Saccharomyces cerevisiae S288C: one gene and its partner. Changing the gene in region 2 together with the main gene of any one other region gives a genetic interaction. Each region holds a gene or a part of one and is shown on either strand. Other genes may lie near its edges.

Region 1 (3,671 bases), on a different chromosome or scaffold from region 2:
TCATCTTTGAGAATGGGCATGCAGCTTCCCCATCTTTGACTTCCGGGTGATGTTGGGGTAATTTTTCATCCTTTTGCTTTTCTAAATCATTTTGGTCACGTGTGCATTTTGGGGCTAGCTTGTGATTGAACAGTGATACTAAGTATAGGTAGGCTGCAGATAATGGGGCGACACCAAGTCCGCACAAAAGGTAGTTTGGTCTTTCTCCTGGTGCAGCTAGATAGTAGCTGAGTCCAAAGGCACCAGTAGCTAAACCACCTAAAACGGTGCTCCAGCATCCTAATGTGCACAAAACATTCTTCAAATGTTGAGTTAGAACATTTATTGGGGTGGTAATAGAAATCACGGTAGATGAAGTTAAAATACCGGCGTATAAACCTAATGATGAGACTGCGATACCTTTTACAATAGCTGGGGAGACTTGCATTTGTTTTTTAGTATATGTAAGGATTCTTATGAGTGTTTGTCTTAAACTTGCTTTTCGTGAGGTAAGGGTTAAAAAATCAGCTTGGATATAATTTGGAACAATAGAAACTTCTTTTCTCTCATTTATATACTGATCAACTCACAATTATATAACCTGGTTCTTTTTTTTTTTATTTTTCAACAACACAATAGATTCGAGTATGGGTAAACGAAGAGAATTACTTCGGCATTAAGCAAGGGAAATATCGCGCAACCGCGCACGTAATTATTTTTACTAAACGAACAGCAAATGCAGCAGAGCTAATGCGATGCATAAGATACTTGGATTCTAAGATCTGTTAACTTGAAAATGCTCTATATATCTGTCAAAGACACTATATTGTTGTATACTAGTATATATCTTTTAGTCAATTTCGATTACTTCCGGGCTTTTGGGAGCCTTGGACTTGGACGAATCATGGTCACTTTTCGTTTTTCTCTTATTGCTCTTCCTTAGTGAGATCCCTTGGCCTTGGAAATTTTGTTCACTGGATTTGCTACCAGCGGCACTTTCTTCGTCTTCTTTCGGTAGGACCATTGGGAAACCAAAGAATAATTGGCCTTCAGGCAGATCTAGCTTGGCGGGCTCGCCATCAAACGTTATCTTCATATCTTTTATATCTTGCTTGGGCTCCGCTTTCGGAGCTTTACCAGATATGTTTTGTCCCTGACCTACAAATTTAGATAGTTTGTTTCTGCTACTGTTAGCGATACCCGCATAGTCGATTCTTGTGGACATCGATCCCTGGCCAAGCACCGAGGGATCCAAAACTTGGCCCTTACCAAAAGAATTCTTTTTTTCTTTATCTTGCTGAGCTTTCAGCGCTTTGTAATCCGGTTCCACATATCCTACAGGTGGAGCAAAATCTGTTACTAAATCTGTTTCAATGACACATATACTCTTCGATGATGATTCTGGTTTGACTTCTAAGATCTTAATTTTGAAAGTTTTACCATTGTAACTAATCTCAATAACATCGTCCACGGTCAAAGTCGAGAAATTCCTCAGTACGTTTTCCAAAACTGCTTTGGGGTCGGAAATATCCAAGAAATCTACAGACTGAGGTTCTAACTTCACAAACTGGCCCAGAGGTACATCAGTAGATGAAATTTGCAGTAGAGATCCTGGCTGTATACCCAAAGTTTCCATCATCCATTGTGGTAAGTAAACTCTGCCCTCTTCAGCAATAAATTCTAAAACACCTCCATGTGTCACACGTCCAGTTTCATTGGCAGTTAGTTTAAAAAGCATGGGGTATCTTATGTTCAACATGGATAGTTTGCTTAGAGCACTTGGTGGCAGGAATATTTTCCCGCCGAAGTTTGCGTCATCCTTCCGTATTCTATCATTCATCATAGCTATAGGGTAGCATCTAAAGAACTCCTCAAACGTTTGAGGCATATTTACAAAACCATTTCCGCCGCCAAAAGAACTAAAGCCAGAAAACATTTTTATTATATTTTACAGTATCACTTTGATATTTTTTCCTCCCTTGCTATGGTATGTGTTACTATCTATTGAAAACTACATCATTATCTCTTCCCTATTCACATAGACCAGCCAGGATTACTTTTAACTACCTTTATTTTTCGCCACCTAACCCAAAAAAGGAATTCTTCTCTTTCGTAGAACGCAAGTTTGACTTTTTCGTCGTAAAGGCGAGTTTCCCAAAGTGGACACTTTTTTTTTTTAAGGCGCTTCGGCTAGAAATAGAAGAACGATAATAATGGCAGCGCACTGTGTATAATAACACCAGTCAACAATGAATCTGAAGCTAGAGAAAGAAACCCTCAAGTGTATCTGTGATGGCAGCAGGAAAATTGAAAAAGGAACAGCAAAATCAATCAGCTGAACGAGAAAGCGCTGATACGGGTAAAGTTAACGATGAGGATGAAGAGCATCTATACGGAAATATTGATGACTATAAGCATTTGATTCAAGATGAGGAATATGATGACGAGGATGTACCTCATGATCTACAATTAAGCGAAGATGAATATAATTCCGAACGAGACAGTTCTTTGTTGGCAGAATTCTCGGACTACGGTGAAATATCTGAAGACGATGAGGAAGATTTCATGAACGCGATTAGGGAAGCAAGTAACTTTAAGGTAAAAAAGAAGAAGAAAAATGACAAAGGTAAATCTTACGGCCGCCAAAGAAAAGAAAGAGTGCTTGATCCAGAGGTAGCGCAATTACTTTCTCAAGCCAATGAAGCTTTTGTCAGGAATGATTTACAAGTGGCCGAAAGATTATTTAATGAGGTAATTAAAAAAGATGCACGTAATTTTGCTGCTTACGAGACCCTAGGAGATATATATCAATTGCAAGGAAGGCTTAATGATTGTTGTAACTCTTGGTTCCTGGCAGCTCACCTAAATGCTTCCGATTGGGAATTCTGGAAGATAGTCGCTATACTGTCCGCCGATTTAGATCATGTTAGGCAGGCCATCTACTGCTTTTCCAGGGTAATAAGTTTGAATCCTATGGAATGGGAATCAATTTATCGCCGGTCTATGTTGTACAAGAAGACAGGACAGTTAGCAAGAGCTTTAGATGGATTTCAAAGGCTTTACATGTACAATCCTTATGATGCAAACATATTGAGGGAGTTGGCCATTCTTTATGTTGATTATGATCGGATTGAAGATTCAATTGAGCTCTATATGAAAGTGTTTAATGCTAATGTTGAGAGAAGGGAAGCGATATTAGCTGCTTTAGAAAATGCCTTAGATTCTTCAGACGAAGAAAGCGCCGCAGAAGGGGAGGATGCAGACGAAAAGGAACCCCTTGAACAAGATGAAGATAGGCAGATGTTTCCTGACATCAACTGGAAAAAAATTGATGCAAAATATAAATGCATACCATTTGACTGGTCTTCTTTGAACATTCTCGCGGAACTTTTCTTAAAACTCGCAGTTAGTGAGGTCGATGGTATAAAGACAATTAAAAAATGTGCACGGTGGATTCAACGCCGCGAAAGCCAGACATTTTGGGATCATGTTCCAGATGATTCAGAATTTGACAATAGAAGGTTTAAAAACAGTACCTTTGATTCACTACTTGCCGCAGAAAAGGAAAAATCGTATAACATTCCAATCGATATTAGAGTTAGATTGGGATTGTTAAGATTGAACACAGATAACCTTGTTGAAGCTCTGAATCATTTTCAATGCCTGTATGATGAGACTTTCAGTGACGTTGC
Region 2 (3,825 bases):
GAGACCTTTATTACAATTCCTACCTAAATTGGCTCTTCAGGGGGGTTTTCTAGGCAGGTATCTCTAGAATTTACTCAAGAAGTTTATTTTCTAGTGCCAAAAAGTCTACTGCTGATATTCGCTTCTACTGATTAAGAGCTGCTTTAAACCATCTTGTTGCAACATTGAGTTTGGACTTAAAGCCTCAAGTTGTTAGTGATGTTGCTTTTCAGGATGACGTGTAGTTGATCATCTTACAGAAAAGGAAGCAATGGTACGTATAAGATATTATTTTAAATGAGAAGTAGCTGGTCTTCAAATCACAGACATTGTGATGGCAAAGCAGTGATAAATAAAGTTTTCACACCCAAAGCAACATCTTTCCAAACCGTTTGTGTGCCGTGGTGAACAGATAGAAGAGGGCACTGTTATTCAAATTTTGAGGGTCGGGAGAATTAACTCGTTAATTATTCCTGGTGTCGAATTTGCGTCATTCCTAAACTTGGATATTCTTATATGGCAAAAAAAGAATTTTTTATGCCACCAACACGACGGCATATTCTGGAGTGATTATAGCCACTGCTAACAAGATAAGGCGGTAACACCCGATTGTGCAGATGTCCTCATTTATCCTGTTTCCGAGCATTTGATTAACCGTCTCTGTGAGACCAGTTAAAGACCTCTCTCAAGAAAAATATGTAAATTTTTTTCAGCCACTTTATCGGCACTGGAACGAAACGATATGGTATTCCCAGTATCAGCCACGGCCCCGTGTAAGCCGTAAAGTAAACAAAAATTTTTACCACTAATTTCGTTGCGTATCAATTTATACTATTCTTTGTGAAAACCTACACAGACTACCAACAGAAATTTTTTTGGTCAAACGAGTCCAGTCTGGTTATTCGCTGGTTCATGTAAAATGTTAGCACCATCTACAGATTCCGAACATTAAAATCGTATTATGCATAATATAGACATTAATGAGCAATCTGTTCATTACCCCCTTATCGTATGGCAACAGCTATTCCTGATGTAATAGTGATGTTATATTGCTTTCGCCATTATTAATTTTGAGGAAGCTTTCCAAACAGATTACATAGCTAACTAATTGCAATTTTGCGACGCCATAAGGATACGCGATTTCCTCCTTTTCTTTTTCGCGTTGTTCTGTGCGCTCTTTTTTTCAGCCAAAAAGGGTTCCTGAACAAAAAGACCCTGTTTTTTTTCTGCCTGTTAACTCTGATCTTAAAAAGTTACCAATTTTCTAACATTTCTCAATAAAGACCCTTCGATAAACAAGATTCTTGAGAAATAAAAATTTTTGTGACGTTTACTTTTGAAAGTCCTTGAAGAATTCATTACTAATAGAGAAAAAATGGTGATAATTTTTTTACTTCACCTCCTTTCTACTATCCCTCTTATTCGGATTATCTAGCTTTAACTTCGCCAGTTTTTTCTTGACACACTTCACAGATGATGGTGCCTTCATGTCGGCATGACGCATTATCTCCATACTAAAAAATGATCCGACAATATCTCCTTCCTATTTGATCAGCCTCTTATCGTTCGTAAACGACGTAACTTGACGGAGAACGGAGAACTTGTTGAATAGAGAAGAGTATGTCGGTAATTGATCTCCGATATGAGCGAATATAAAAGCAACATATTTGCTGGTATGTAGCGTAGCTTTTCTTTCCAATTGACGGGACATCGAAACAGTATATTAACCGAGATAAAAATGACGACTTATCAAATCGATGTCAATGAAGGAATGAACAAGTCCCTGGCCGACTTGGTGGCACCATAGCGCCCAGAGCCACTCAAAAATTACTGTATAAGTAACACTAATTTGATAGATGTGGTAAGCGGTGTCAGTCTCCTCGGAGCTTACATCTTCATAGAACAGGGTGTCATTTCCAAGGTCGAATTTGGTTCTGAAAAGCCGGTAACCGTTGATGAAGTTGCCTTTGAAATTATTGACGGCACCGGTAAGTATGTCACTCCAGGTCTGATCGACAGTCATGTCCACATTGCGTCGGTTGCAGGAGAGGCTGATCTGACCAAGTTAATGCTGATGCCAAAGTCAGTTGCATTACTCAGAATAAGATACACTTTGGAAGCCGCTCTGGCAAGAGGTTTCACAACAGTGAGAGACTGTGGGGGTGCAGAAGGCTTTCTGAAAGCAGAGATTCGTCAGGGATCCTTGAATGGTCCCAGATTAATTACGTGTGGACATGCCATTTCCCAAACTGGTGGTCATGGCGATCTGAGATCTGGTGCCCTACCTGCTAGTGCCTTTGACAGCTGTTCATGCCACTTTGGTCAAGTTGGTGTTGTAGCAGATGGTGTTCCCGAATGCTACAAAGCGGCCAGAGAAGAGTTTAGAAGAGGTGCAGACTTTATTAAGATTATGGGTGGTGGAGGTGTGGCCTCTCCAACTGACAAAATATCAAACAAACAATTTTGCGACGACGAAATAAAAGCACTTGTAGATGTCGCAAATAGTTACCACACATACGTAACAGCACACGCCTACACTGCGGAAGCGATACAAAATTGTATCAAGTTAGGTGTTAAGGGTATCGAACACGGAAACTTATTAGATGAACGTACCGCAGAGCTTATGGCAGAATTGGGTTGCTACTTGACTCCAACACTAGTTACCTACAAAGTGATGGGTTCTGATCAATTTAGTGCATTCTTGGGACCTGAAAATAGTAGAAAAAATACAGAGGTGCTTTACAAAGGAATTGATGCAATGAAAATTGCCCAGAAAAAAAAAGTTAAAATTTGTTTTGGTTCAGATTTATTGGGTCCTCTATATGGTTATCAAACGCAAGAGTTTCGTATTAGAGGGAAAGTTCAAACGACACAAGAGATTTTGCTCTCAGCAACTGTTACTCCTGCCGAAATGAACGGATTAGGCGATAAATTGGGACAGATTAAGCCAGGGTTCATTGCTGACCTACTGATGATGAAATCAAATCCGTTGGACGATATAACGATTTTGGATGAACCCGAGAGCAACATACTATTTGTCATGAAAGAGGGAAGGATATATTGATGTAGTTATAGTTGTTTTCACAGTCAGCATTATTTCTGAATGCTAGAAGCCTTTTTTTTTTTGAAGTCATAATAAAATATTTGGCTTGTAAATTTAAGTATTGAAGTCAAAATATCCTACTTATATCACAGTGAAATGTGAGGTGGATATGGCCCTTTAGGGCCCTTAATTTTACAAGTTACAGAATCTTTTTTTTTTTTATAGCATTTGTAAGGTCCGTGTATTCAGAAAAAAATCCAAGCTTAAAAAAGTGTATATAACATTTGGTATCTGAAATACGGATCTATCATAAAATAGAACACCTCAAGGAGGTATAAATTTTAAAAGTTTTTTTATTGTATGCTCGTGCCCGTTTTTTCTTAAAGTCGGAATTTGTTATCGAACACTTGGCATGCGCTAAAGATCGTTAATTTACAAAAATAAGGCGGATGAGATGCCTCCGCTAAATATTGCAGGGGTCGCTTTGAATGTTTCGACCAAAATGTGCTCTAAAATATAGAAATATCATTATTAACAGTATAATTAAACGTTGAGATAAAGTATTTCAAGTTAAGCAATATGAAAGGATGACAGAAAAGAAAATAATTTCTTAATATTACAGAATATGAACTAAAGTTTGCTATTACGTGTGCCAAATTTTGAATTAAAACTTGATATGAACCTCTGCAGGTTTATTATTATGTTTTCATGATTACCACCATTTATCATAACCAAATGTCTCACCTTTCTTTAAGGTATAAAATTTTTTATAATCATTATCATACGTTCTTTTCCAAACGTTG

Evidence for each region.
Region 1: mutations in YJL213W (region 2) and UFD1 together harm fitness more than expected from each alone (negative genetic interaction), as found in Saccharomyces cerevisiae (2 studies listed by BioGRID).

What each region holds. Positions count from the first base shown.
Region 1 is NC_001139.9:588,070-591,740, reverse strand, and holds UFD1 (polyubiquitin-binding protein UFD1), read right to left. Parts: upstream 1,916-3,671; coding exon 830-1,915; downstream 1-829. Other genes in the region: SCM4 (Scm4p), read right to left, coding at 1-427; transcription factor TFIIIC subunit TFC4, read left to right, coding at 2,272-3,671. UniProt on the Saccharomyces cerevisiae protein: Functions at a post-ubiquitation step in the ubiquitin fusion degradation (UFD) pathway. Has a role in the endoplasmic reticulum-associated degradation (ERAD) pathway.
Region 2 is NC_001142.9:30,116-33,940, forward strand, and holds YJL213W (uncharacterized protein), read left to right. Parts: upstream 1-2,047; coding exon 2,048-3,043; downstream 3,044-3,825. Other genes in the region: oligopeptide transporter OPT1, read right to left, coding at 3,735-3,825.